Linked DNA regions of Schizosaccharomyces pombe. The gene in region 1 interacts genetically with each later gene. Each region holds a gene or a part of one and is shown in the gene's direction. Other genes may lie near its edges.

The links.
Region 2: mutations in tma20 (region 1) and dhx29 together harm fitness more than expected from each alone (negative genetic interaction), as found in Schizosaccharomyces pombe (one large-scale study listed by BioGRID).
Region 3: mutations in tma20 (region 1) and nop10 together harm fitness less than expected from each alone (positive genetic interaction), as found in Schizosaccharomyces pombe (one large-scale study listed by BioGRID).
Region 4: mutations in tma20 (region 1) and mcs2 together harm fitness less than expected from each alone (positive genetic interaction), as found in Schizosaccharomyces pombe (one large-scale study listed by BioGRID).

The regions. Positions count from the first base shown.
Region 1 is NC_003423.3:3,767,830-3,774,772, forward strand, and holds tma20 (RNA-binding protein Tma20), read left to right. Parts: upstream 1-5,467; 5' UTR 5,468-5,478; coding exon 5,479-5,489; exon of another isoform or gene 5,490-5,543; coding exon 5,544-5,696; exon of another isoform or gene 5,697-5,751; coding exon 5,752-5,849; exon of another isoform or gene 5,850-5,965; coding exon 5,966-6,170; intron 6,171-6,229; coding exon 6,230-6,287; intron 6,288-6,308; exon of another isoform or gene 6,309-6,362; coding exon 6,363-6,383; 3' UTR 6,384-6,443; downstream 6,444-6,943. Other genes in the region: armadillo-type fold protein, zf-MYND type zinc finger protein, Mub1-Rad6-Ubr2 ubiquitin ligase complex Mub1, read right to left, coding at 1-1,148; protein Cwf4, read right to left, coding at 3,204-5,228; histone chaperone Hip1, read right to left, coding at 6,528-6,943. UniProt on the Schizosaccharomyces pombe protein: Involved in translation.
Region 2 is NC_003423.3:2,242,791-2,253,634, forward strand, and holds dhx29 (ATP-dependent RNA/DNA helicase), read left to right. Parts: upstream 1-3,544; 5' UTR 3,545-3,932; coding exon 3,933-8,219; 3' UTR 8,220-8,514; downstream 8,515-10,844. Other genes in the region: SPOM_SPBC15C4.04C (amino-acid permease), read right to left, coding at 41-1,669; SPOM_SPBC15C4.06C (ubiquitin-protein ligase E3), read right to left, coding at 8,946-10,616.
Region 3 is NC_003424.3:1,633,004-1,639,343, reverse strand, and holds nop10 (snoRNP complex protein), read left to right. Parts: upstream 1-3,839; coding exon 3,840-4,017; exon of another isoform or gene 4,018-4,069; coding exon 4,070-4,086; 3' UTR 4,087-4,233; downstream 4,234-6,340. Other genes in the region: structure-specific endonuclease catalytic subunit Slx1, read right to left, coding at 1-561, 603-701; SPOM_SPAP27G11.14C (uncharacterized protein), read left to right, coding at 1,213-3,282; SPOM_SPAP27G11.12 (uncharacterized protein), read right to left, coding at 4,602-6,340. UniProt on the Schizosaccharomyces pombe protein: Non-catalytic component of the H/ACA small nucleolar ribonucleoprotein (H/ACA snoRNP), which catalyzes pseudouridylation of rRNA and is required for ribosome biogenesis.
Region 4 is NC_003423.3:1,889,539-1,896,659, forward strand, and holds mcs2 (transcription factor TFIIH complex cyclin Mcs2), read left to right. Parts: upstream 1-3,441; 5' UTR 3,442-3,617; coding exon 3,618-3,890; exon of another isoform or gene 3,891-3,976; coding exon 3,977-4,050; exon of another isoform or gene 4,051-4,102; coding exon 4,103-4,724; 3' UTR 4,725-4,870; downstream 4,871-7,121. Other genes in the region: GDP/GTP exchange factor Spo14, read right to left, coding at 626-946, 1,003-1,344, 1,401-1,685, 1,732-1,857, 2,005-2,118; SAGA complex, phosphatidylinositol pseudokinase subunit Tra1, read right to left, coding at 4,895-7,121. UniProt on the Schizosaccharomyces pombe protein: Essential for progression through the cell cycle. Possesses kinase activity that can be detected when myelin basic protein (MBP) is provided as an exogenous substrate.

The DNA.
Region 1 (6,943 bases):
AAGTTGTCAAAGAATGAGGCAATCCCGTGATAATCAACTACATTTTCGGGCCTGCGGCCATCTAATAACGCAGATGTAGAAGGAACACCAGGTAAAAGTTGATTACGACGCTGACGATTATTCAAGGCCTGTGATTGAACATTATTTAAAGACAATTGCACATCCCGTGATGAATCCTGAGTAGTAGTCATAATATTAAGCGGAGTTGGAAAGAAAAAATTTGGAGAGTCTATCTCGTCATTAATTGTCTCACTAGCAGGGCCTGTTTGACGAGAGTATGAAGGAGAAGAAGGGGTAGTCATGTTATAATTAACATTTTCAGTAGAAGTAGGAGTAGAGGGTGCAGCTGATGAAATTCTTTGAATGGTTAATGGAGAGTTTGCTTGAACACGAGGATCTTGAAATGAATCATTTGAATAAATGGAGCCGGAGGATCGATCATGACTAGTGGTAGAGCTTGATCCCAATAAATCACGATTCACGGAATGTCGAAACGTAGATTGATTTGGAAGTTGGACATCTCCACTATCCCGTAAATCCACCGAATAAACTCTTCTAGAGCTAGAGCTTGCCGTACTAGCTCCAAATGGAGATGGTACATCACCGTTGACGAACAAAGAGTCAGCAGATGAATTGTGTTGAGACACAGAATCAAGAGAATTGCTAATATTAGAATTAATGGGGAATGGAGCAGATGCGGATGATGGAGGAGGGGTAGTAGAAGGTGTAAGGGAAAATTGAAATCGAGAATGGTGAGAAACAACGGACTCAAGCGCAAACAAAAAATCATCTAAAAGGGTGACAACAATAGGAACGATACCAGCTTCCACAACACGAATTCGAATAGCTTCAGACCCACGTATCCCAACATTTACGACACACTGAAGAGCTAGCTGCCATATTGTCATTCGGGCAAATGTTTGTCCACGTCCGGCACGTAAAATATTCATTAAACGCATCAAACCACCATCCATAGTAAGGATCTCACGAATTTTCGGTGAAGTCGAAGTCAAATAAACGAGATGGCTTAATGAATTCATTAATGACATTTCGGAGTCACAGTCAAGCGCACGTCGATCATAAAGGACTGTATTGATAGTGACAGAAGCTTTGTTATTCCATACGATGCTAACGTTCGATTCCCTCATCTTTCTTTAATAATATATTTAACACGTATAAAGTTTTTTAAAGACAATTGCTGCAGTATAAATTACTGGCAAACGCAAAGATTGGCGTAAAACGAACGATGTGATAATATTTTTTTTAGTTAAAGACAAGCAGTTTTCGAATACCAAAATTTTACTCAATAATTTTCAAAACTGCTGTGTGTAAACGCAATAACCGAAGAGAAAAACCAAGAACAAACGCCGATAGCAGGAAGAATAAGTAGTGCCCCAAAATCACGAAAACGAAAAAAAATAAAAATTACTGTTTTCGCAGATTTTAAGTCCCGCCGAATTTGAAATCCTTTTAAGCAATCTACACCAATTATTCTTCAAAACGAGTAAACGTAAAAGGGACTACGGTTAGCTCAAGCTTGAAGTCAAGAACTGATAAAGGAGCAAAAAAAATACTAAAAGAAAAAGGAAGTAAGGAGCAAGGGCACTTTTTTAGCCGAGAAGCGACACAGATCAAGTAAGTTCAACAATAGGAAGTATAACAACGAAAAAGTTGTAACCCGGGGTCTGCTAAAATCACGAGGCTAAAGAAAGAGAGAAGTGGCAAACAAAAAAAACCCGAGATTAACGAAGATACAAAGAGAGAATGAATAAGAATAGTTTGATGAAAACCACAATAACCTTGAAAATAAAAATAAAGGATATGCTCAGTACCTTTTTAGACAAGATTAGTGGAAAATCAAATCACAGCTGACAAGAGTAAGAGAAGAGAGAATAGCACAAGATGATTTGCATCAATTAAAAAAGTAAAGTTCGAAGAAAAATGTTAGGATTTGGAAAAGGAAAACGGTGGTGAAGCTAAATCAGCCTTGTTGATAAACAAAGAATAAGTGTTTTCTTATAATCGCAAGGATTTAGCTTAAAAACCACAGTAAATAGTTTTTGCAAGTCCCTTAATTTTAATTGAATGAATTCTTTTTACGAAAATTTCCCGGATCCTCGTTCTCTTATTCAGATTCTTGGAAGTGGCAGTTGACAGAAGGCAACTTCATTTCACCCGAGTGTCAACCGAGTTTGAAAACGATCGTCAGTGAACGTACCTTTAAGGCACCATAACGCAAAGTATGCTGGGTTGTTACTGGCTATAATGGTTGGGAACTCTCGGCGATCTTTGATGCTGGATGTTACCTTTGAAGAGATCGACATCTCGGCAACAATAACTCAAAAAACTTGCTGCAACTTTAACTAGCAACAGTTGGTATTTCTTTCACTATAGTCAGTCATTTTTTATTCATACGAACATCTTTGTGTCTTTAAGTTTTTAGCAGAATCTGTGTATGAATTTTTTCTTTTAAGTCAAAATGTTGCCTAATACGTTGGTCGCATAAGCCGATTTTTGTATTCTGTAAATTCACTTTAGCAGAACATTTGGGTAAACCGGTCCGAATAAGCTGTCAGTGCTGAAAATAACCAATGTCAGATTTTGTAATCTCATTTGATTGACAAGTTCATCAGATCAGCACAACTCCAAACCAGCCGCTTCTTTACCTGTGAGTCCTGCCACTTTGAGTAACAAAACTAAAATTAGTCGCACTGGTAGATACTCGATCGTATGTCAATGGGGCAAGGTAAAGAACAATCAATTTATAAATATAAATATGTACATATTAAATATATTTTGGATTGGATTTTTCATTTTATTGTATTTTAATGTGTTATTTACGAATTGCGTTGGATTCTTCAAAATTGTCATGTTTACAACTTTCTCATTTCTACAAGTGTGATTCCCTCAACATAATATCCATAAATTTTTCGCTTATCTTGCTTAGTAAGTAAACTCAGATCGAAACTCAAGGTTAATAATACTAATATGGATTGCTTGTCTTATTTCTACGCGCCATTCCGGCCTTTCAAATGCAAAAACAGTTATTTTATTATTATCCGAACAGTCCAAAGCGCTGAATATCCTCAACTTCGTAACAACGTCCATTTACATGACCCATTGCCTCGTAAACAATTAATTACTAATATTTTACACGATTACTAAATATTAAACTGATAGCGCCAATAAATGTCATATGTAATCTAGGCCTCCAGCTTCTTTTTAGCCATTTCCTCTTTCCATTTTCGCGAAAGTTCGAGCATTTTGCGCATCTTATCTCCTTGATCAGTCGCCGTATCCGGAAACAGATAGTCCAAATATTCTTCGAATGAACCGTCTTCAAGTCTACGGCGTTTCTTAACAACCTGTGGCATTAGTGAAGAGACATGCTTACGTGTATCTTCCGTGCCATGCATTGCCTCAAATTGTTTCCATGCTTCAAGTAATACAACTCGCTCTTCCTTCAAACCCTGCTGGCGTAAATGGGCCAATGCATTTTCAAAAACATTTCGCGCACGCACAACAGCGGTTGGAGAAGCCACTTCTTCATTCGGTGGTTCTTCGTCATCGTCCTCCAGATGGGCAATTTCAAAGTTTGCAAAACTAATCCAAACTTTAACATGAGGTGCAGTCCGTAGTAACTGCTGGTAAATACTTCTAGCTTTTCCGTATTCCATTTCCTCGAATTCAAAATCAATATAAGCCTTCCACACAAGCTCTGGGGTTTCCAAAATAGGCTGGTTTACAGCCAAATTATATAAAGCGCGAGCACGATCACTATCTCCAAGCTTAGTCTCTAAGGCAGCGTAACCAAGCCAGGGAGCACAAGCCTCGGGATCATAAAGAATCCATTTTTCATAAAGAATTCGACACCTGTCAAACTGCTTAATTGCGTCTTCGAATTCAATATAACCTCGGAATAATTTTGGTTTTGGACACATTCCCAACGCACGACCCAACGTTTTTCTAGCAACATCAATCTTACGTTGCCTAAGCTCAAACATTGCATACATGAGCCATAATTTGGCAAATGTAAATTTTTTATGGGGTATAAGCTTGAGAGCTTCTTGGTAAACCTTTCTTGCGCGGTCAACGTCCTTCACATCTATCTCTTCAAATAAGCAATAGTTTAACCAAATATAAACGTAACGTCTCCATGCGTTCTTTTCAACTACTTCAGGAACCTTAGCAATAGCTTTTTCGTAGGTTTCGCGAATAGTATTAATATCCCCTGCACTTTCTTCGAGCTTCAGCAAATCAAGCCAAGTGTCATAGTCATAAGGAGAATCCTTCAATAGCTTTTCGTATTGTAATCGACGCTTATCGAGCACAGTAGACTCAACGCCCAAATGATCTCCAAATTGTTTTTCAAAATGAGTGTATTCCTTATATAGTTCCATAGATTTTGATCGGGGCATAAAATCAATTGCATATTTGAAAATGGTGCGAGCTCGTTCATATTCCTTTTGACGAATTTCGAATTTTGCAAAAGCAATAAAAAACCGTTCATTCAGAAACTCCTGACCAAGAGCATCTATAGCAGCCAAATAGACTTGGCGAACGTTTGCAGCATTTCCGCATTCTTCTTCAAAACGAGCCCAACGAAGCCAATTCGTTACTTCAGGATGCACAACGACAAATCGTTCATATATGCCACGAGCCCGTTCGTTTTCATGGTACCTCCTCTCCATTCGAATATAACTCATCCAACAGTTTTCATCAGGCTCCCACTTAAGCCATCTTTCAAATACTTGTCTACAACCGGTGATATTTCCTAACATTTCCTCCATATATACGTATTTGTACCATAGTTTATCAACACGGGGAAGCTGTGTAACAGCACGATCAAATAAATTTCTGGCATGGTTGATATTTCGATTCTTCATTTCGCATTCAATATATTTCAGCCATAACGGTATATAAGTAGAATCTACATCCAAAGCTCTTTCAAAAACAGAGCGAGCTCTCGCAAATTCTTTTTGGTCTAATTCCCACTGACCATATCGCATCCAATGGCCCATAGCGAGACGATTCCGTCGAATGGCATCTTCAAATTCTTTACGTTTTCGACCTTGAAATTCTTGAAGCTCCTCAAGATCAGTGATATTAATTTTTGGAGGAACAAACGCCACATCTTGTCGTTCTACAGCTTCTCGGAGCAATTGTTCAGCTGAGATTTGGATGGGTGCTGGGTTCTTATTTTTTACCCTGGGCGCTTCCGAAGTCATCTTATATTATTCTGGATCTCTATAGTGTACAATTACTCAATAAATAATATGCTAGATTTATGTCTTCTCTTAACCAGTTGGCTTTTACTGTTAGAAGACAAAAACGTGCACAAATATGAATGAATATATCTAACGTTTGTAACCCTCGAGGTGGTAATCGGCAACACCGCGGATCATCCGAGAGGAGACCGCGGCTACAACCTAGTAACTTATTGTAGCAATGGTCTGCAGCTCCTATATACTCAATAATATGTTCAAACGGTATTGCTCTAAATTGGATTTATAATTTTGTAGGATGATTGCTAACCTCAACAGATTTAACTCTAGAGAAGATATAAAGGGAACTACTCCAATCAAGTCTTCTATTCAAAGAGGAATAAAAGCAAAACTAGTACAAGCTTATCCTAACTTAAAACAAGTTATCGATGAGTTAATTCCCAAAAAATCACAACTAACTCAAATAAAATGGTTCGTTCTTATCAGCATCCGTGATTTTTAGTATGTCGTACTGATATTGTTTAAGTGAGGATCGTTTATTTTTGTATACTTTGAATGGCGAAATTATCCTTTTCCAGCACTTCGACGGCCCTATCATTCCTTCTCTTCGTCTTGTTCATAAATGTGAGTATAAGCTAACGTAACCGCAACGTTTGATTGGAGTTCTGGTTTTTGTCTAGCTGGTCAGAATCGACAACAACATATCTGTGTTTAGTTCAAATATATACTAATACGCCTAGGTCCGGATGCCTTTACTCAAGTTCGAGTAGACAGAGGAGCTATCAAATTCCTTCTCTCGGGTGCCAATATTATGATTCCTGGCTTGGTTTCCAAAGGCGGCAATTTGCCTGATGACATCGAAAAAGATCAATATGTGATTGTTACAGCTGAGGGAAAGGAAGCCCCTGCTGCAATTGGGCTTACAAAAATGTCTGCTAAAGAAATGTAATATACTATTGACACTCATAACTTGAACTATTAACTAACATGCTTGAATTGTTTAGGAAAGAGACTAATAAAGGAATCGGCATAGAAAATGTGCATTATCTTGGCGACAACTTGGTATGTGATTTACATTTTAAACCATTTATAATTTCCTCTTGCTTATTGGAATGTAATGTTAACTAATATTCACAGTGGAAGACTATTTTAGAATAACATCTATAGTATAAGACATTAAAAGAATAAAATTAATGCATTATTTTGCTTTCAAAACTATTCAGATTTTTCCAATGAGTATTGTATTAGACTTAAACAGAATGCAAGAAAGAAAAGTCAAATTTAAAATAGCCTCAATTTTTTTCAGGTTGATGCGTATTTTTCTATTAATTTGTTTGCACGATCAAATTCATTATCAGTTTGTACTGCTTGTCGTAAAACCACTAACATTTTTGCAACAACTTCTCTTCCTGATAATTTAATTGAACATTTTGTTTGAGTTCGTAGCTCTCCTAAAAATTCCTCCAATTTTTGCCAAAGACCATGATGCATTAATAGTCTGACATAAACTTCGCTTGTTACTAAAAACTCATCATCCAACTTAAGTAATCGAGCAGAAGCGATTTTGTTTTCTAAATGATTAATAGTAACTATGGTCTCAAAATCATCATAACCTTCTTCAGTGATTGCATCAGCTACCATTTTTTGTAATAGTTTTCCTCTTCCAGAATCCATTAAAACATTATTAGTTCGGTGTTCATATATTTTGAGCGGCTGAC
Region 2 (10,844 bases), 1.5 Mb from region 1:
ACGAAGCTTAGGGTAATAAGAAATCTTTGCAGATTTATAATTACTCAGTTTTGAATGGATCCTCAGATTCCATATCGACGTTAATACGAGGACCAATATAGGACTTCCTAGCACCGGACCACCAATATACCAAACTAAACAAAAGTACGCCGGCAAGAACGACAACGGCATAGTTCATGTTTTGTGGAGTGACCGGGCGGACTGTAGGCATCAAGAAAATGACAGATACGAATGCGGTCCAACAAACAGCGTAGGCATTGACAAAATGTGAGGCCCATCCTAAATTCCATGGGCCAGGCTTATAGTTTAATCGTTTACCAAAAATAAGCTTACACGCAATAGGAATCACATAACTCCAATCCAATGCAATTGCACAAACACTGAAGATTGCTTCAATAGCTTCGATACTTCCAAGACCAATGAGATTTAATGCAATACAAAAGACAACGTTAAGCCAAACAGCGATAACAGGGGTAGTGGTTGTTTTGTTAATCTTGTACCAGTAACGAGAGAATGGTAAGGCTTGATCACGAGAGAATGCCCATATAGTTCGAGCGTTGGCTTGCATAGCAGTAATTCCAGTAAAATTAATAATAATAAAAGATAATATAGTAAATGCCATACTTCCTTTCTTGCCCAACACGTTGTAGAAAATCTGGGCAACAGGTTGACCTAGTTCAGAATTGATCAAACTATCGAGATCAGTACCCATGGTGAAGGCTAAAACAATATTGAAAACCCAACCCAATACATAAGTTATAGAGAGAGCAAGAGCAATTGCGTTGGGGGCGCGAACAGCGGCGTTTTCAATTTCTTCAGCAATGTGTGCCGTAGCATCGTAATCAGTCATACACCAAGCAACACTAAGGAATCCAAAAAGGAAAGAAAAGCCAATAGGATGCCACCCACTGCTTGCCTGCACGTCGGTAAAAACATATTTGCCAGTGTTGAACTTTGGACATTTGGCCAATAAACAAATCATACACACGACAAGGACGATCAAGTGAAAGGTGGCATAAAAACGAGTAATCCTGTCTAGCCAACGAGTAGAGAGGGAATTGACGAGGCCATGGAAGACAATTACAGCAGCCATAACCCCTACAATATGTTGATTGGTAGGGATGTATTTCAAATCTGTAGATATGGATACAGCAGCTAACAGCAATTGAGCACAAGACCAATCTGTACTACTGACACCAGCTGCTTGGCCCAACAAGTTCAACCAACCGACGACCCAGGCGACAACGGGCATTGATCTGGCAGGAACTAGGTCCTTGCAAGTAAAATATAAACCACCGGATGTTGGGTAAGCAGAAACTAGCTCGGCAACGGATAGAGCGATACACATACAACCAGCACCAGCAATTAACCAACACCAAACAGCTGATGGAGCACCTCCTGAAATCAAGGGATATGAATATGTTGTGACGACAGTAGCGAAAAGCCCAGAAATTGAAAAAGCAAAAGAAAAAGTGGCCCAGGTAGAAAATTCTCTTTTAAAGACAGGTTTGTAGCCCAATTCAAGAAGTTGGTTGTCTTCATCGTTGCTGACTTCGAAATCGGTTTCAGAATGGGAAACATGTTTTAAGGATTTTAAATTACTAAAACCTTCTTCCTTGTCATTGAACTTTCCTTGTTCATTAACGCTTACGTTAGAAACCGAATCCATACTATAATTTATTTATCCACTTTAACGTTCAAATATGCTTATCAAAAATTCGACGTATTTTCCTTTTTCACCTTTTTTTACTAAAAAACCGAAAAACAAAACAAACAAACAAAAATGTAAAAAGTCAAAGTTTCTTCGCAAAAGAAGAGATTATATACGACTTTCAATTTCACCCTTTGGACGACTCCAAATTGATTTAAAGAAAAAGAAATTTGCTCTAAAAAGAAAAAATCTCTTCTGAAATAATCGCTATATCTCAAATTGACCTATATATGAGACTTTTTATTTCAAGGTGAAAATATTGGCGGAGACTGGCATGAGATTTTTCTATCTGTCGTTAAAGCAATTTTGGCTACCACGTGCGCGAATTATCAACAAATTTTTTATATACTCTTTTAGCAAGATTCTTTAGTTTGTTATCTGCTTCGTAGAATGCGTAGGCAAACACTTCAATTATTCATTGTTTTGGCAACACATTTGCATTAATGAAATACCTAACTAGTTATGCCAATTAGTCTGCTAAACCATTTTTTGTTTCTCTCGGGTACCAGATATTCGCTACAGATGCATAACTCGGACTCTATCTCTTTAAATTTTAACTTTTTAGACAACTTTGGCCTACGAAGAATCGTTCACGATTGTTGAAAAAAGTTGTTGGAAGTTAATATTACGTTGAGCATATTTGATTTGGAGGTGGAACAGAACAACTGGAATTTTTGAAAAACTAAGTATATAAAAATACATGTGATAGTGTGAAATTTTGTTTAAATAGGTTTGAAAAGTGTTTGGGCAGCATTGACAAGTTTGGTCCTTTAAAAGCTTTAAATTGAGTACAACCACAAACACTTCTTTGATAAAAAAAGAGAAGCCAAAAGCATCACATTTCGCTGAAGTGTCCTTTTCTATAGTTCGTTGGAAATGATTATCCTAATGGAACAATATGTATTAATTTGCAATTATTTTTATAATATTCGCTGGCATCATGAAGTAATATCAGTTTTGAAGGCGCTCCATGTAAATTTTATACCCAGCAAAAACCTTGAAGTCCAAATATTCATACATTAAGTATTTACGGAAGCTTTTCTATTACTATTCTTCAAAAAAATCTATACATTTTTGAAAGATCATCAAATATTTATGAATATATCTATGTATATTTCAAAGACTTTCAAATTACTCAATAAATTGTCAAAAGCCGCTTAAATAAGCTTAAATTTTAACGATCAAATGAGAACGCTGAAATTATTTAAAATAATATTATTATAATACATCTCAAATAAGCACTCTGGCAACAATCCCAATGTTCAATGGTACTAAAAATTTAAGCATGTATAAACAATAATTCAAGCTGTACTATCTAATTATGTTGTAATAGCTAAACATTGAGTTTACTCTAACACAGGAGTTTAGGGAAGCTAGTTTTACGGATTGTATTGCCCTAGAAAAAAGTACTAAATTTGAACAGTATAGGCGACTGAGTCGGGATTTTCATTTACCATTGGGAAATATTTTTTTGGAAAAAGCTTAACTAGTTTTGGAAAATAACAGGCGGTAAAAAATGCCATGTATATGTAGTCCTCGGAGGAATATGAAATCAAATTTTTAATAAATCGGTACTTCACTAACAACGTTAGAGAACCTGTTTAAATGTATTTGCTTTAATGCCGTTCTTTCATACTTTACCCATTCGTAACTTACATATAGCCTTTTTATGGATTGCAGCCCATAATTCAATTTTAATCTTGATTATTGGTTGTATAAGATACTTTAATAATTAATTTAATCTCTTTTTTTTATTTTTCTTTTCCCCAATACTTCGAAATTTAATTATATATTGAGTATATTGGTATCCAGTTATATATACACTTTCTCTCTACAACCCACAAGAGAATATTACAAAATATTGTACTCAGCGATTCCCTATTACTATTTATTCGTGGATATTATTTGTTGGACAGAAAAAAAAAAGCAAAAACCTGATAAATCAGCTTATTTCTAAACCATCTGATCGCTTTGTATTATATTTTTATTAAATGAAAATTTATCATTCCTTGTTTCTGGTTTAAAACTCTTTTCTTTTCAAGAGTAAATAATTTTCGATGTCCAATATAGTTTTATTTTAACTGTTATTATTATTACTTTTTTGGCTCATTGTTATTCTAACCTGTGAAGAATATTTTAACCACGAACTGTGAACATTTTCTATTAGACTCTGATTTTTTTGTTTTAAAGACCGATTTAAAAACCGTTTTTGTTCTAAATAATGGCTAAAAAAAAATCAAAAGCTTCGAACTCTGCTCGTGGGTATGCCACTACATCCATTCCATCTCGAAGTGCCTCCTCTCCGGCAAATAAAAATCAGGTTAAAGGAGAGAAAAATAATAAAACCCAAAAGGTTGAGCCCAAAAATGCTTTCAAAGTTGAGAATCAATCAAATGATATAGGGGTTGACACCGTTGATGCATTTGACCATCTCCTACTAGACAAAACGCTTCCAACTATTGATGCCGAAACTGAAGTCATAAAAAATACCTCTTTATCAAACTCAAAGTCATTTTTACATTCTTGGCAAACGGATATAAGACTTCGTAAAAATGACAACGTCCTTGGCTTGACCGAAGATGAAATTCAACAAATTTTGAAAACATTTCGGGACTCTTGGAAATCTTCTCTAAAAGAAAGTTATGCTTTCTCAAATCGATCCAGTTTTTCTCTGAGGAAACGGTATCTTTGGACTACATTTCTTTCACTTAAAGGTATGGGGTTTGAAGAATCAGAAATATTTGGCGCCTTCTCATCTATCCCTATAGTTTCGATAGATGAATATATCACTTGGATGATAACAGAGAATTTAATCAATTCTGAACCTTCTAATTCATCTTTTTCTTACGAAGTGCAACCTAGTAATTACACTACTTTTTGTAGGATGCTCGATGAACCGTTACCTGCCAATAATCCGGTTCAATCAAATAGTAGACTTGTCCCATTAATGAAGGATTTTTCTAACGATATAAAGCACACACCTAATAAAGAAACTCAGCCCTCTAATCAAGTCGATGATTCATTGAAATCTAAGGATTCAAAGCCACTCACAATGTCAGAGGTACTTACCCAATTGCCTGAAGATGACATTCCATTTGATGATCCTTTTGACTTGACTTCTCAATATGTTAAAGTTAAGCTGAAAATGTTACGACTACAAATTGCCAATAAAAAAAATTCAGAAGAATTTAGTACACTGAATTTGCAACTAGAAAGCATTACTAGCCAATATCTTTTTTCGTCTAAAGAGGCAGAAATTGTGTTTCGTAAAAGCAGAATCGAGTTTATGAACAAGTTAAAAGCTCTCCAACAAAAATTAGAAAACGAGAGAATTGTAGAAGAAATAAAAAAAAATGGCATCCAAGAAGATTCTCAAAGCACTGATGACTCCAGTAAAGATGATGATAATAATTCTGAAAGCAATGATATGTCACCACACAACGATGCAGAAACTAGAGCGGATGACGATGCTTACCTTATGGGAGATTTATTTAATCAAGAAGAAGAAGACATTCAGGATACTGAAAATGATTTACTTAATGCAAACTACACACTTCTTCCTTTAACTACCGATAAATCTGGAACACGTCCAAGTACTACGTTGCAATATGAGCTTCACAAAATCGGATCAAACATTAAAGCAGAGTTCAAAACTATGCCAATCGGCAAAATAGGATATCAGTCCACCTGTTTTGTTAGATGTTCTACCGGCCAGAAGACTTTTTCCGACCTGAAAACTGTTTTGCCTACTGCCACATTGGCTGCAGATTATATTTCAATGATAGTTTTATTTAGATTAATGGCCAATTTTACTAAAATTTCGTTACAAACGTTTCCAAAATCGTTTAAAGAGGTTTATGGAAAGTTTTCTGCAGAAAAACAAAACACTGACTTAGCAGAAGATGCAAAGATTTCCGAGAAGTTGGATTCCATTATAAAGAGCAAAGAATTGGAGACCCCAACAAGCGCTACCACTTCTAAACTCATGGCCCCTATGGATAATATTGGCAAGTTTTCTGGATTTGAAAGGCCACCTGAGACTTTACTAAACAAATGGCGACAACAACTTGAAAGTGAATCAGCCGAAAAATTTAAGGTTTTCCGTAATCAGTTGCCAGCTACGATGTTTAGAGAGACAATTATTGATGCTGTCAATAATAGTCAACTCTTAATTATATCAGGAGACACAGGTTGCGGTAAAAGTACGCAAATTCCTGCTTTTCTGTTGGAAAATTCTACAAAAAATGGAAAAGCAGTCAAAATTTATGTTACAGAACCTCGAAGGATCAGTGCCATATCGTTAGCTAATCGTGTTTCTCAGGAACTTGGCGGCAATCCTCCTTCAGCTCGTTCGCATGAGCTTGTTGGTTATTCTGTTCGTCTGGATTCCAAATGTACGCCTTTAACACCTTTAACTTATGTTACTACAGGTACATTTCTGCGTCTCCTAGAAGTTGGAAACGAAATAGAGTCTGTGACTCATCTGATTATTGATGAAGTTCATGAGCGCAGCATTGACTCGGATCTTCTTTTAATTCATGTACTTCATTTACTTAAACAACATCCTCATCTTAAGATTATAATTATGAGTGCAACTTTAAACGCCGAAAAGTTTCAGTTATACTTTGAAGGAAGTAATTTAATCACAATACCTGGTAAAACATATCCAGTGCATAGATTTTATTTAGAAGATATACTTTCCCAGTTTGGAAATGATAAGTCGTTCGGTAACGCTGCCGGACAGGATGTTATAGAGGAAGATGACTATGAAACCGACCAACAAGATGCGAGCATCTCAAACAAATCTGCGGAGGATGCCATTGTTGAAATGAACCTAATTCCAGCTTGGTATAACGAGAAAGCCATTAACTATGGTTTAATCGTTTATCTCTTAAAGTATATATTCACTGAAGGAGATCCGAAATTCAGTAAGTGTGTATTAGTATTCTTACCTGGTATTTCGGAGATCCTTCGTGTAAAATCTCTTATCGAAGATATGCCTATGTTTCGAAATCATCGTAAGTTCTGTATATACATGCTACACTCTACACTATCCTCTGCGCAGCAACAGTCCGTTTTTAACATCCCTCCCAAAGGGTGCCGCAAGATTGTATTGTCGACAAATATCGCTGAAACTGGTGTTACTATTCCAGATGTCACTTGTGTGATTGATACAGGAGTACATAGGGAAATGCGTTATAATAGTAGAAGACATCTTTCTCGGTTAACTGATACATTTGTATCTAAGGCCAATGCCAAGCAACGTAGTGGACGTGCTGGTCGTGTTCAGGAAGGTATCTGCTATCATTTGTTCTCAAAATTCAAACATGATACCCAATTTTTGTCTTACCAGACACCTGAAATTCTGAGACTTAATCTGCAAGAAGTTGTTTTGCGAGTAAAGATGTGCCAAATGGGTGATGTACAAGATGTCTTAGGCAAGGCGTTAGATCCACCTTCCTCTACCAATATTATTCGTGCTTTAGAAAAGCTTCATCAAGTGGGAGCGCTCTCTGAAAACGAAAAATTAACAAAACTCGGCAAATTTTTGTCGCAATTACCTGTTGATGCAAATTTAGGAAAAATCTTGGTTTTGGGATGCTTCTACAAATGTGTAGATGCCGCTTCTTCAATAGTAGCCATGTTAACAATCGGTTCACCTTTTAGGAAATCTGTTGACAATGAATTTTCTGCAAACAAAGCCCGATTATCATTCGCTAAGGAGAATACCAGGAGTGATTTAGTTTTGATGTATTATGCTTACTGCGCTTGGCGAGAGATTTGCCTTTCACCTTTAGGCCCTGATGAAGATTCTTTTGCCAAAGAAAAGTACTTAAATTTAGAGGCTTTAAGTATGACAGAATCACTAAAAATCCAACTGCTTTCTGAGTTGAAGGATATGAAACTTTTAGGCGCTTCGGATGTTGATACTTGCAAAAGCCTAAAACGTTCAATATGCCGGCGTTTTGCCGTTATCCCCAAAGAGCATGATATTAACTCAGGAAATGCAGAAATTCTGTGTGGCGTAATTGCTGCATCTCTGTATCCAAACATTTTAAGGTATGATTACGAAAAAAGACAGTGGTCAACCTTGAGTACCAACAAGCGTGTTAGAATTTTAGATGTATCGGTGAATAATAGGTCTGAGTTACCTAACATGCCGTCCAAATTCGTTGCTTACACGAACATGATGTCTTCCACTCGAGCTAGTGAGTATGTTAATGAAACTACTATGGTTACTCTTCGCCAGCTTCTAATGATGTGCGGCCTTAAAGTCGAAAATAGAGTATCAGTTGGACAAGCAAAGCTTGACAACTTTACAGTATATTTTGAAAATGTTTACGTTTCGGCATCTTTAAGTATTTTACGTCGCTTTATTGAAACTTCTCTAAACGAATTTTTTGCTGAACCTGATAAACGCTTATTGAATTCCCATCTTGAGGTTATTGTTAACATAGTTTCACGGTTAAATTACGGAACCAAATTTCAGAAACGTCTCAAAGATTAATGAAAGTATCAAAAATGAAATATCAGAAAGTTGGTTTTCACATATCTGCTTAATGACAGGCAAATTTTCTTTCCATTTGGAAAATGTAAGAATTATGTTGGTTGAGCATAAATGTGTAAAATGGAGTTATCTAAGGCTTCATTGCAGAAACTGATGGCTTTTCTATTTTATGAGACACAATTCAGAGTATTTAATTTTCTCAAATCCAAAAATGTCAATTATTATAACTGTATATCGTTTTCTTAGAATATCAAAATAGGTCTCTAAATGAAAAGAAAAAAATATTTACATATGCAATTTAGCATTAGACCGGCTAATTTGTAAAATACTTAATAGTTTTTTTGTACCTTCATCATAAACTAGCAAGCAACATGTGTATTAAACTTTTTATAGTAAACAATGACATGTATAGTAAGCTTTTATATAGTACTATAGAATTCATACGATAACACAAATAATAGATTAGAACGATGAGAAATAGATAATTAGCCCATTAAAAGATGCAAGAAAATTATGAACTTAAGGAAGCGTAAGTTTTCTTCGTCGTAGGAAGAACTGAACAATAAGTATGAGTATGCGTATGCGTATAAAGACAAGCAAAATATTATAACGTAAATGAATGAGAGTCGAACAAAATATGCTAATATAGATTATAAAAAAAATTATCCTTATGAGTAGAAGTACAGGAATTACTCAACCAATGGAGAAAATTCATAAATATGCAGTTTAAACATTGTCCTCGGAAGCATTTTCCAACATGTTTGTAACTGACTGTTTACATAGGGGACAAAGATCCGAATTTTTTAATAAATAAGGATCAATGCAAGCCGGATGAAAGATGTGATGGCATGGCAGTTCTCGATAAAGAGGACTTTCTTCTGAATACTCACACAAGCAAATAGTACACTCCCTCTGATCGAAATACTTACTCCCTCTTTCGGCTGTAGTAACCACATTTCCCTGTCCATCAAAACTTTCTGATTTGTCTAATTTCCAATCCTTTTCATAAACCAACTCATCATTAGGATTGGCAAGATGAGGCCCCGAAAACATTCTAACGGGCAAAGTATCGAGCATTTCTTTAGTAACACGATTTTCTGGTTTGTTTGGTCCAATATTCACAATTCTTTCTTGAACAGGAATTCCATGACGATTTAAGAGTCTATAAAATCCATTCATTGCACCAGAAAAGTGAAGGCAAATAAAAAGGCCTATGACACCGATTAAACCCAATAACACACCAATGAATATATAGAGGCCAAGTAGCTTTGGTTCCTTGCTGATGATAACGCCCAAACGGGCCGTAGCATCAATGTTTCCAAAATATTCGACTAATGCTCCACCATCCTGCACCGAATTTAAAGAAGAAGCCGAGTATTCGTTGAGAATCTTTTCAAAAGCGATGCCGTTTTCGTAAGATATGAGTGCCATTGGTAATGTTTCAAAGGTAATCATATCTACAGCATCTTCAAAGTGGTCAAAATTGGTTAATGAATTACTAGCAGTGCTTGCATTATAAAATAGTATTGCCTTTGCTCTATCCTGGACAGCCTGCAATACATGCATTGGAGCACAATAGTCAAACGGCGCGAATGCGATTAAGCCAGAACTTCCCATATTAGAAACATCTCTAAACCATACGCTTCCCTTGGTATCAACTTGAAGTGACTCGGTGTCATTGCAGCTACCATAAGGAGTAGTTTTATATATAATTCCACGAAAATTATTCTTCAGTTTAGACAAGCTTTTGTAATACTCATTCAAAAGGACCGTGTTGTCAGAGTGGAAGTAAAATGAGACATTTTTTGGAAGATTTGAAACAACATTCTTGTTGTTTTTAACAATAAGAGTAGTTATGGTTAGCGGAAAGAACTGATTGTATTCGACAGCATTCATAATAATAGATGAATTTCCGTAATATGAAAGACCAGAGCTAACATAATTAGATATTGCAGTATTTGGAGCATTGCTGGAATAAGCAGGGTAATAATCATCATACAAGGAGATTGAACCAGAAGTAGAGGACGACCTTGCAGAACTAGTACTAGAATCTGAATAAGATTTGGGATTTGATTCACTGGAAACAGAATCCGAGTCTGATTCACTAGAACTGGACATAGAATCTGATTCATCATGACTAGATCTTGAAGAAGAAGTGTGTTCACTAGCATGCCCACTAGTATGGCCTCTTCTTAATGATCTAAATGAATAAGAGATTGGAGTTGGCGAGATACTTTCGTCCTTTGGCATTCGATATCGCCTTCTTTCATTCCATAGTTTACGAATTGCATTAAACAGCCGCTTTCTCCTCTTTACCTTATTCTCTTGTGAAACATAGCCTCTGTAAACTGCATTGCAATCCAGATGATCAAGCAACTGGTTATTACACAGATGCATAAGAACCTAAACAAACTTTAAGGCACGAAGAAACACAAAGAACTAGGAAACAGGAGGTTTCAAGATTACCAAAAAACAAACCTGCTTTGATACCAATCTTTCTAAATAATGAATCAAATTTAATGGTAATTGAAAGGTAAGCTTTCAATCAATAAACAGACGTTGAGTGGTGATATCTCTAAAGCAGGAATTGTGGAACACAATTAATGAAATTTTTTAAAGGAAATT
Region 3 (6,340 bases), on another chromosome or scaffold:
CTGGCATTCTTCTGTCAGAAAACTGCTTGCAAGGCAAGTTAAATGATTTATTGAATTGCAATCCGTAAAAGGGCAATTAGCCCGCAATTCATCAGATTCGATACATTCGTAGCATAGGTTACACTTAACAGGCTCTGATATTGTCTTTCTTAAACATAATTTATGATCGTAAGTTTTTTGGATTACTTTTTCGTGAAACCCATTTAACCATTCTTCGTCGAAGTATACATTGATATTACCATAAGTTTTACCAAGTTGATTCCATTTACTGAAAGCAGTTTTATTTAGAAATGTGATGTTTAATGGCCATCTTCTCCACGTATCACTGTCAACCAAATGCTTTAAACCTTTAAGACAATACATAATGGTTTTTTGTTTTTTTGAACGGAAATCACAATCTTTAGTGTACCTCGAGATTCCCAGATTTTGCCAATTCCATTCGAACTTTAAAGCAGACACTTTGTTAGGAAAGCCGTAAACTAAACATGAAATCGACCAAGGGCGCCCGTGTTTAGTTTTTGATGCACCACCAACTATTTCCCCATTATGTTGCCGCAATCGCTAAAACAAATTAGTTTCCTATAATAGCACAAAATACCTACTCTAGGTGGATCTGGTGTGGAACCGATATAAACAGCTCCACTTGATTGTGTCCTATTCGACTTTAGTAAATAACAGCAGTAGAAATTGCACAAATCCATGTTTCATAATTCTTTTCGATAGCACTTTTCTCTTAACCCGTGGTAATCGAACAATTAACTAGTGGTAATTTTATAAGCTTGTTAAGTTAATTAATTGAAAGTATAATCTAAAAGTATTTTTTCTTTCAGCTTTGTCTTCGAATAATAGTAAGAAAACAATGTAAAACAAAAGGTCACCGTTACTGTCTTTAGGGTTATCCACGTAAATCTGTAAGATTAAATTGTTATTTGACGTGCTTCATTACTTTCTCTTTCACTAAGGATTATTTATAATTCAAAAAAAAGGAAAGAATTACTGAACCTATTTAAGCACCGTCTAAGCGTGTTTTTTTTGTTGTATTAAATTCTCAACAAAGCTACTTCAAAGGACCTACCTTGTCCTCTCCTTCATATACACTAATTAAGAAATCTTTAGATTTTTAATACTCGGTCGTCAATACTCAATGATTGCTAACAGTATACGATAGTTTTCTAAAAAAATCCAGAAAGCCACCTTTTTGAGCGGCCCGTAATGAACTTGCTTTCTCATCAGCTGCGCGACAGATTTCCAATCAAAGCAATAATATCGAAGGCCGATGAGGTTATTTTTGCAAATTATAAGCATACTAATGATTTCTTCAAAATTACAGCAACCACCTATGCGTTGATAAATTCAGTCATTGTTTCAAACAATTGCTGCAATAGGCGATTTCACTCAACTTGGCAAAAAAAAAAACATGATGACCTTACTGCTACAGTCCCCGTCATTGATTTTAGAAAGAACCAAAAACTTACATCTATTGTTGTAAACGCAATTCAAGCTATCTATTGGTATGCCAGACGATCCAATTGCTTAACTGGTATAAATGAAGCTGAATACATTTGGAAGAGCTTGATTCCTGAAAGCATTTTTTACCATTTTGTTTCTCTTCAAAGTTTCATACGAAAATATTTGACTGATGTTTTTTACTGTTCAGCTCAGAAAGTTATTTTGCTTTCAACTGACGATAGTGTCGTATCATCTGAAAAGTTGTATATAAGGATTGCTTCCATACTTTCCAACGCCAATGACAAAGTTTCTTTCAAAGAATCATCAATCAATACTAATACTGTCTTCAAAGATGTTTACGTTGAAGTTAGTTCGCACAATGACGAGTTTTTGTTGAAAAATTCATCAAAATGCTGGGCATTCACAAGCTTACTCGTTGATCCTTTGCACTTCATGTTTTCTCAAATAGTTTTTGAAGATTTATCCGGTAAAAAAATCATGAAATTTGAAGACACAGCTGTTAGCACAGCAAGCAATCATTCAAAACAATTCACGAAAGGAAATTTATTAGCAATTAAGTATATTGGAGGTCTATACAACGCTGTTTACTTGATGGGTTTAAAAAAAAACTTGCTTGCATTTGTAGAAAATGAAAAAGATGACTTATTTGTCGCAAAAATTTTTTTATTAGCATATTCATCTTCCAAAAATCGAAAGAAAATTGTTCCAGTGGACGTTTGGGATGCCATGATTGACTCTTTATACGAAACAATAAATGTCGAGGAGACAAAAAAAGAAACTTACAAGTTTACTCGAAGCATAAAAACTGTGATTCCTAATAAATTAATATCTAACGAGTCAATTTCAATATTATCTATTCCTGAATCAGAAAAGACTATATACCAAAATTTTGATTTATATGTTTCAAAGTTTAACGTCGCCAGGAAAGAGTTATCCGAAAAAGAACTTTTCAATAATTCTTTTTCTTCTTCATTTAATACGTTGCTCGCTAGCTTGTTGGTTAAGCCAACCTTATGTCTGATTTCTTATTTAATGATTGCAAAAAAAATGGTTGTATTACAGGAGGCAAACCGCTTATTTCTTAAATCATTTGCCCATCCATTCCATTTGGAACGATACCATCTACATGCTGTAGCTGCAATGGGTGGTCTGTATCAAATTATGTCTTCTACTCATCTGAAAAATTTGTTTTTCTGTTCCAGGAAAGGAATCGCTCTGACAAAATTACATAGTCAGCAATACAATGAATCAACGTTGTTTCAATACTTGTCAGAATTTGTTCATCAGCGACAAAAGTCGCTTACACCGAAACAGAGAATCGCTATACAAGAACTTATTTTAAAATTTATGCAAAGAAATTTTGAAAATAGCCTTTACCACCAATCATTCAGTTCGCACTGGTTTATATCTCGACTATTGATCAACCCGATTCGAATGCTCTGTTGGCATATTACAGATGTGGGGAAAACGCTGGATCTCGGAGAAGCAGAGAAGTTACTAAAATATAATCACAAACAATGTCCGTACATAATTTACCCATCAAGCTTAAAGGCAGTGCAAAAGTTAGGTGGATTACAGTGTATCATTAGGAATGATAATTTGAGCCATATATTCAATTGTTCAAGGAAATATATCAGAGTACAAAGATATTCTGACGATGATTTATCAGAATCCAGTCTTCTACCGCGGTTGGTTAATTTACTTTTGTTTTTTGAAAATTCAATGGGGGAGGTTGCATGGAACAAACTTAGTCAAACGTTAATGGATATGTTTGAAAAGGAGACAAAGAGCAATTCTTTGAGTGATTATTAAAGCAAAGACATCAATTAATTATCTATCTTAATTAGATGCGCAATAAAAAAAAAAAAATAATATTTCCCTAAAGAAAGACAATCAAAAACGAACTGCTTAAAATAGAGGTTTAACTCCCTTGTTTAATAACCCATAAGTTAAGTGTACTAAGGTGCAATTACTAAATGTTCCAAGCAAACGTATGTTAAAGATGTAAACTAAATAGTTGGATCTGATTTGGTCAATAATTAATCGCATTTTCTTAATAGCTGAAAACTCGGATTTTAAAAGAAATTATTTTATTCTAATTTATTATAATGACAATAGCTGTTTTAATTTTACGAAGATTGCTATATCCTTAACCCCATATTGCTTATTCTGCTTACAGTATTGTTTTTAAATTTTAGTGAATAATAAAAGAAGAGAGTCGCTAAATAATTTAATATTTGATTATGTCTGTGTTATAATGCTTTAGCGTAATTTAGCAACAAAAACAGTCACCTGAAGTTGAGGTACTTTTGACATTTACACCTTTCCAGCACCATAGGAAAATTGTAATATCCGTTTTTTTTTTCACAATGCATTTGATGTATTATTTAAATGATGAGGGAAAGCGTGTTTATACTTTAAAAAAGGTATCTCCAGATGGAAGAGTCACAAAATCTTCGCATCCTGCTCGTTTCTCTCCTGACGATAAATATTCTCGACAACGTTATACTCTGAAAAAACGGTTTCATGTACTACTTACTCAATTGCGTAAGTATTTCTATTAAATTAATTGGTATAATGATAGTGTTCTAACGATTAGCTGCAAAACCTTACTGAGCAAATAAGAAAACGTCGAAAAATTTTCGCCTTTAGAAGGGAGCTACATAAGTATGGTTTTGGTTAAATAATCAATAGTTTTGATTTTTCTTTGGTTATGTGAGTAGTGTGCTCAATTGAAAAAAAAATATATTTCAACTTGAGTTGATTTTCCGATGTTTATTGCGAAGCATTATTTGTTTGGCATTTGCATTTATTATCTATTAAACTACAAAGAATAAATCCCTGGTGTATACATAAAATCTTTTAGTAAATGCTAAACAGTTACTGAGAATGTAAAATAACGATAAAAGTAGTAACATACTAGTGGTAATTCTGAATGAAAAACGAAACAACATTTTTTTAACCAATTTGTGAAAAGAAATAATAAAAAAATAAAACAGATGTAAAAAGCCAAGTATCTATTCAAACAGACTCTTTGAACATACAAAACTTAGGATAGTTCAAATTTCTCCATTTCAATTCTTAAAACGGAGATATGCCGCTCAAGCATAATCCTCAAGGAGATTTCAAGTCTAAAATGAGTCAAATATTTTGACATCCGTACCTTCAAAGATGCCTGGCCCTTCTCTTTTATGACTGTCTAAATCGCATGAGACTTGCCAGGCGAATAGACGAGCAAAATTTGCCAATTGTTGTCTCCATTCCTTTGTTCTATATTTCGGAATGTATGGTTGATTAGTTGCTGGGTATTTTTGAGTTTTTATCATAGCCATGATTTCTGAAGCTGGATGACCGGCTTTCTTCATATCACTGATTTTGAGAGATAGGTCAGTGAAAATATCGAGCATAGTTCGGAAGTTCAGCGAAGGCCACCATTTATTCCACCATTCTACAGTCGGCTTAAAAGTGTAATCTACTGAATGAGCAATTGGCTCTACCTTCGCTTCGTCGGTATCTTCTAACGAACGGTCATTGCCATGGAGTGTGGCACTTTCTGTAAGAGCTCTATGTAATTGAGGACGTTGCTTCAACAATGGTTGGACAGGCCTACTATCCCTGTGAGTACGTAAAGAATTGGAGCGAAGTGCTTTATCGAATCCATCAGTAATTTCATCTTTGCTAGTAACGTCTTTGAGGTTAGTGAAACCAAATTCACTACTTTCTATAGGATAATATGGCGTTGGACTTTTTGACCTAACATATCGAAGTCGGCTTAACAATATGGAGTCAAACGCTTTTGAAGAAAATGTTTTACCATTGCGAGTCCAGTATGCAGAATCTCCTTCCGCGGATGAGTTTCTAACACTCATAATGGCATCAAACGATAAAGCGCTGACCGCTTCAATGTAATCTTTGTGCATTGAAAAGAAGTATAAGAGTGGTGCATTGTATTTTTGGGCATATTGAATTGCATTGTTGATAGCTCCTATAACATACTTTAAAATTTTGTGATTGACGTCGTTAGAAATTAAAAAGCCTGGATAGGAAGCAGATTGAAACAATTCAAACAAACTCTGGCTGGAATGTGAGTTTAAATTTTGCGCGTATAAACAAAGGTAGCAAAGCGAGCAGCAAAGCATTTGAGCAATCTCGGAATGATAATCTTTAGTATATTGCACTAGTAATGAAATTGCAATAATGGTAAAATCTGCGTAAGTACCACCTTCGAAAGGAACTGGCATGCTAATTGGTAAGGCGGTCTGCTGTTGAAATGGCTTGTTTAAGCGCTTACAAAAATATTTTTCAGCGGTCAAGCGCTTTAACAGAATTACACAAAGCTTTAAGTGGTTATAAGTCGAAGGATCTCCGAGATATTCAAAACTTAAATATAACAAAAATATAAACAAATCGATTGCTCGATCGGTATCAATAAGATAATGAAAAAACCTCTCGTTATAATGAATAAAAAGTTTGCAAAAAATTAATACAAGAGGGTAGTAGTCAAACATAATCAATGAGCTTCTTTTTGGAATGGTAGATTGCATAGGGGGATATAACAGTCTGCTCATTCCATCAAGGATGATTTGGAAATCTGAATAAGGTTGAAGTTTTGAAAGCAGAATGCTAAAATAGTTTTTTGGTAATGTGTTTTTTGAAGAACGGTAATTATTATAACAAGGAGTGCCGTTGTTGTTTTCTTCCGACATTAGTATGAGTAGGACAGAAAAACAATACTCTATCAAAGACATGTGAGCTACCGAGTTGTCAAGGGGAAGAAACTCAGGCTTCCAAAACATCGTATTGAAACGCATTGCTGTATTGATGAGAGAAGAAAGAAGACAAAGGACTAAGCGCCTGTTAGCTATTGAAG
Region 4 (7,121 bases), 1.9 Mb from region 1:
GTGATGTTCTCAAAGTCTTGAGAGCACACAAAGGCAAACGTTGCAAATTTCGCTTTTTCTCGAATATCGTGAATCGTTTCGCTCAATCTGTTCAATCAATTACAAAAAATATTTTTGAATAGGTATATTTTTGATTTCGCCTAAGCCTTTACTTTTTGGTTCTTGTTTGATCTCCCAGATATCTGATAACCATAATGGCTTAACGAATTTCATATGCTAATCACTGACCGTTATGAATACAATTTCCTTGGTTTTAAAAGACTTCAAAATCCTCACTACTGTCACTGCCGCTGGCCCTAAAACATGTTTATGACTTAAAAGACACATACATTTTGTATTCTAAGGTCGTCCAACGCAAAATTTCATAAATGCCCTACAGACTTTATAATGTTGCATAGTCATTGTACAGATCGAAATTGGCATACTCATGATTAGTTATGTAGAATTTCTTTATTTCCTCATATCGTCATTGATGACTGTGGTAAATGAAACCACCCAAAACATAAATCTTCTATCCAAACAAAAGAACTCTAAAAGTCTGCAAAGTTGCAGGAAACAATAAGCTAGTTACGTGCCAGCCAAATCTTTATAGGAAACCATAAAACGTGAGCTGGTTTTACTTTTTTTAAAGGTCATAGTTTCTAATCGTGTATTTCGAAAAAATGTGAAGAATAAAGGAAAAGAATCGATGAATTGCGTCTAACTTCTCATCTGGGAAAAGAAGTTGTAAGTAAAAGTACAGGATCGCCAAAACAAAAGGGAACATAAGAGACAATCGAAGTATGACTCCGGCATCCTCAAGTTTGACAGCGCTCAAATTTTTGAATTTTCCTACAAACTGAAGACAAAGCAAGCCATCAGCAGAAACACTAACTAGTGCTTCAGAATCAGGGGATAACTGCATATCAGTTACTGGAAGGCTATGCTTATAAACTTGAGACAATTTCTAGCATGCATATTAGAAGGCAAAATCGCAATAAAAATATTTAAGTAAACACATACCGTTAAGTCTAAAGACATGAAACGAATGCTGCAATCTGCTCCAGCAACTATGATCATTCCATTCTCCTTATCACAGCAAAAGCAGGTGACGCCCTTTGCATTTTTTAAATCTCGGATCATGCCAAATCTCCAAAGTTGATTCTTTGAACTGTAATCAAATCGAACCAATGAAGCAAACCTTTTGGAATCTTTAATATAGTTATAAGCAGCTACTATGGATTGGTTGGGTAAAAACGAAACACCTCGTACTGTGGCTCGCTCTACCGGCATGTAAAGTACTTGCACCAATTCAAAAGTGTTCCAATCATAAATTTCGACGCGATCATCAACTGCAATTGCAAGCTACAAAAGAATGGTAAGGATTTAATAAATAAAATTTAGTAAAGGCTGTGGCTTACCTTGTCTTCAGTAGATGAAACGTCATACACATCTGAACCATGTTTTTCAAACAAAACTTTGTGATCATTTTTGGAGATGATAAAAAAACTTTTATTAGTGCAAGATATACAAATTGCATCGTGTAATGGCTCAAATAAACATAACCTTTGATATTGTTCATCATTGTCAAAATCGGTTAACCTGAGAGCGTTCTTTTCCTCAAATAGTTTATCCTTTCTTCCATATAAACGTAAATGGTCAATTAACTTTCCGTCAATGGTGTTATTAATACCGGCTATTAATTCCTACAATTTAATTTCGTTAGCTATGCAATAAAAAAATATTGCATACATTTTTAAAATAACCCAACGACATAACGGCATCATCCGAATGCTTAAGTTCGATTTCTCCATGTTCTATAAATTTTGTATGACCTTCACCAACTTCAGGTTCATAGTCTTCATATGATAATAACTTCTAAATTCGACAAACTAATTAGCGCCTATAGTCCAATTGTAAAACATAATCTTTTTAGCTAACAATCCGGATACTAAAAAGTTTATAATGCTGTAAAATAGATAGATAATGAAGTAATCCTTCACTTACAGTCACGAATTGACATACCAATTTGTTTTTAACACCAGATTTTGTAGTTCCTCCTCCACCACCAACCGCCATTTGATGGTTATTAATCCAACAAAGAGAATAAGCTGGAAAAGAAAGGTGGAGTTCAGCCATTTTGATCTAATAATTAGAAAACACTTTAAGCTGGATACGAGGAATAGGAATGTATTGAAAAAATAAATCGATATCGGCGACGAATCAAAAAAAAATTCTACTTATTAGTGAGCAAATCAATAAAGTACACTTACAAGAATTCCACTAAAAAAAAACAATGTCTATTTGAATACGGTGGTGTGGGTATGTTTCGAAATCGCTGTGAACCTACTTCGAGACTTAAGCAAATACTGTAAGAATATTAGATCCCCGTATCAGAATCTATCGAATAATATCGACATCACTATCCTCTTTTACGTATTTAGGCGATGTTTAATATATACATAAGTTTTTATCCATTTTTTTATGACAGTAGAGAAAAGATTTAATTAGAGATAACCTAAATCCTTATTGACTTAAAAAAGGATGATACTTACTTGTGGATATTTATTTGCGAAGAATCTTTGAACAAACAGAAACTTATAATAGATTCTTTCTAAATCTCGGAGCATATTCTGGCTCATTTTATATTTATATTTTCCTTTTCAGCTTTTTAGAACTCAATTCCGACCTCAGTTTGGTTGCAACTTTGCTACAGACACTATTTAATATCTCGGTCTCCTGTACATTTTACCAGGTTTACGTTGTATTGTTTATATAGTTTATATAGCAATATTTACTACATGTTCATCATATTACGAAAATAGATTAAGAGAACTGGGGAAAGAGTGAGGAGATGAGAAATTTTCGGATTTATTTATAATTTCCAATTATTATTTTTAAGACGAAATTGCCGCGAGACTACATTGTCCATGAAATTAATGTTTGTGTTTATTCTACTAAAGGGTATGAATGCTCGATCTCGTGCCAAGGTGCCTACAATCTTAATACGCCGCTGCCTGTGTATGATTATAATATTACTTCTGTTTTTTGCACAGAAAGCGTGTTTCATTTCAAAGATTGACTTCCAATTAAATTTAATTAATAATATGTTGTTTCATTTCCTTATTTAACTACCAATTCTTGTTCATTTGCAATTCACTCAAATATGTAACTGAACGTTGTCAGGTAATTTTTTGGCTTTAAATGATATGCCTCAATGGAATATAAAAAAGCATAATCCTATATAACTATTGTTTTTTTCAGCTTCGTTTCAGTGAAATGTTATGCTGATACAAATTGATTGAAACATGAATGCAAGACTTTTTTCAACTCAACAATATTTTATTTATTAGTAAATTTTAGTTTATGTAATAAACTCTTCATTAAATTAATATAACTTTATAGTGCTGCTTTCTTTTTGCACATCGCACATTAATTGCAAAAACTCTCTTCTCCACATCCAGGGTATCTGATGTCCTCGACAAAGTCTCAGCGAACGAGCGATTTGGGTTTTTCATAGCAGAGAAGTATCCAAATTTCAAAAATATTATTATTTTACTGGCTTTATAGAGAAGTATTTAAATTTTTGCATAACCCTCAATTGATAGAGTGCTGTAAATTCTACTTACATTATTCACATGTCTGCCGATAAATTTCGTGATTCCACGCATTACAGAGATTGGATTTTTACGGAAGAAGACCTTTCAAAAACACGTGCTAAAGTAAATGAAAAATTTACGAATATTGTACGTGAGCGAATGCTGGAAGAGTTGTCTTTACAAAACAAGGAAGCATCCTTAGAAGTTTTGCCTCCAACTCTTACCGTTGAAGAAGAACTTGAACTTGTAAATTATTATAGTTTCCAGTTGAACGCACTTTCTTCCGCTCTTTCCTTACCAACTCATATTCGCGTATGTTTAGACATGGTCGGATTTCCTTCAATTACTTGGAAACTGTACTCAATATAAACATTCCGACTTTACTCACAAAATTTTAGTCCACGGCCATTCTTTTTTTTAAACGCTTTTATCTAATTAACTCTGTCATGGAGTATAGTCCAAAAATTATTTCGTATGTTTAAGTCGCCGAGTCCATTAAGCTAACATTGTTTTTCTTACATTAGGTTTACTTCTTTATTTTTAGCTACCAAGTGCAACGATCATTATATCTCTATTGAACAATTCTGTAAAAACATGCCCAAGACGACTCCCGAAGAAGTTCTTGAATACGAATTTAACGTTTGTCAATCATTAAAATGGGACCTTTACGTCTGGCTTCCATTTCGTCCTTTACAAGGCTTCCTTTTAGATTGTCAAACAGTGCTTCCGAAAGTTGCTGTCGAAAAGTTTTACGAATGTCATGACCTTTCCAAAAAATTCCTAATTGAGACATTGCATTCTGACATCTATTTCTTACATTCACCCAGCATAATTGCTTTGGGTGCTATTTATCATACGAATCCAACTATTTGTTTACAATATATAGAAGCAAAAAAAATTCCAGAACTGCAACCTTTGATAATTTCGATTTCTGCCAATTTGAAAGCTACAAAAAAATTTAAGATTGAGAAAAAAAAGGCACAAGATTACGGCAGAAAGCTATATTTCTGCATGAATCCTCTGCGAAACAAGTCTAGTGCTTTGTACCTTAAACGAAAAGCGGAAGAAGAATCAACTAATAACAACAAATGGGCTAAAAAGTTCTCAACCAGCAGTAATGTGTTGGATAAAAATCCGTTTGAATGATTCTTTCTTTGAAAAGTGCTAAATTTACTTCAATAGTCATTATTCGTCAATTTTTTTTACGACAAAATAGTTTACGTTTATAAAAAATTCCCAGTAAAATTCACTATCAAGTGTGTCTCATTAATTATTTTTAATGTCTATTTGTAAAATTAAAAACATTTTCATTTCTCTCACAGCCAAGGAGCCCATAAGACGTCCATCTGTGCCAAAACTTTGGAACTAGAGGCTTGCGCCAAATAATCAATAGCTGTTTGATTGACTGGTAAGTTACCATAAGCAACCTGACTTAATGATGCAACCCTTCGCATTATAAGATCAGTATTGCTATTGACTTTGTTGAGCATACTGAAATCTGCCGGCACGCCTTTAGTTTGCTGTGCAAGCCACCAAAAAAGATCATCTCTAATAAAGATACCCAAGTACATATCCAAATCGAAATCCGGTTTGGAGAGCGCGCGAGCTATAGCCATTATTGAAGGGCCCAGTAAACCTTCAGTACAAGTTTTTCCAATAAATTCTTTAATGTTGGGGGTAAAGCGAAAAGGAACAATTTCTCCATTATGGTAAACTGGAGTAGAAGAAACCATAGATGGCAGCGCTTCTGTTGTCCAAACACCGCCAGAGTCTCTAGAAAAAACAAGCTTAGCAGGTATCCTATTATTTATACTTAGTATGTATGTAATAAATGAAAAACAAGCATATTGGTATGAAAAATTTTTTCTGAACAACCACAGATCGGAATAATTAGTAAAGATACTTGAGAAATAATCTTTTAAAATCGTTGACGGAGAATAAAGCTTTTGAATATTTTCAAACATTCCGATTCTCCTACTAAACAATTGTTTACGATTAGCTAATTTTTCAGCATCAGTAGATTCCTGACTAATTTGGGAGTTTAATTCCATCATATGTTTTGATAACTCGTTTGTAAACAACTCTTTCGGATCATCTCTGGAGAAGTTATTTCTTTCTGAATAAATTTCGTATATTTTTTGGAGAGTAATAGAAGACGGTTGGTCTTCTAACAGCCGGATGTGCGATGACAACGGAATCACTGCAGGAATGTAAAATTTCAAACAACGTCTTCGAGTCTCACAATTTAAAGCAAGTGCATCATTTAAGTATCTGGTCAGCTGCATAAAACGCTCTTCCCTACGGCTGTTTCGTGCTGAAGGATACTGAATGACAAATGGGTGTATAGTTCCGCCATTGCTTCGAATGGATAACCTTCTATAGCAAACGCCATGTCCTACTATCAATTCCACTTCAGGAAGAAACCTTTCTATGCAAGAAAAACTATTGTTGTTATCCTTGTGCAAAAGATATTGTCCAGGAACTTCTATTTCATCAAATTTTTGATGATGAAATTCACACAAGAATGAGCTGTATTGTTCCAAATATTGTTTTTTAGGAACCTTAGATAATAACCGCTCAAAATATGATCTCCATTTCCTTAGTTTGAAAATATATGATTTCAAACCGTTTGAATTGACAATGAAATCTTCCTTAAATAGTTGTTTACAATAGTCAGGGAGAATATTATCAGCAAACAAACTTAAGTTCGATTCGGTTGAAGAAGGAAGTTTCATTTCATCCGTTACGATCCCCAAACGAATGCTATGCTGTACAGCATCATTAAGCAAGGCTACCACTAGCCTGAAAGCATCTCCATCATTCTTACATTTAAACTTCGCTTGAATTTGATCAACTAAAGTTTCCATAGTCAAAGCCAATAGAGGATAAGCAGTTTTTAAAATTGACATAATTTCATCAATATATTCCCAAACTTTTTTAGAAAGTCCATCTTCTTTATTTGTTGCTGGAGCATTCGTGCTTTGATTGGTAGAAAGAAAGTTAGATTGTATGCTTAAAATATCCTCATTTCTTTTATTTTCATCAGTCGTATTTGATTTCCATGCTGCCATCTCAGTGCGTTTTACCTGTGCAATATCTTCACGAGCAGTTCTTAAAGTGAAAAATAGTGCCTGTGGATAGGATTTAGCAATTTTTTTAAGAACAACAGGTGCGCATTTAGTATCCCCTTTAGAAAGTGAATTTAAAAGCTGGGGAATAAAGGTAAGCCAATGCCAAACTGGTATATCACCTTTGTATGATTCAAAAGCTTTAACTATAGTACCGGCGCTGTCATTCAAACTTAATAACCACAATACCCTTGCCAGCATCTTACGAGCTTTAGAACTTTGGTAAGTACCAGCAGCTTGAAGATAGCAACTAATGGCATTGCATGCTGCACTCAAATTATCTGGTGACTTATTGAAAAGCAAATCGTTGTAACGACCCCATTCTGCCCATGCCTTTGGCAACCCTAAATCAATTTGTACTGCTGCAGCATACATTTGGTTAGCCTCCTCACCTCGATTTAGTTTTTCTAAAAAT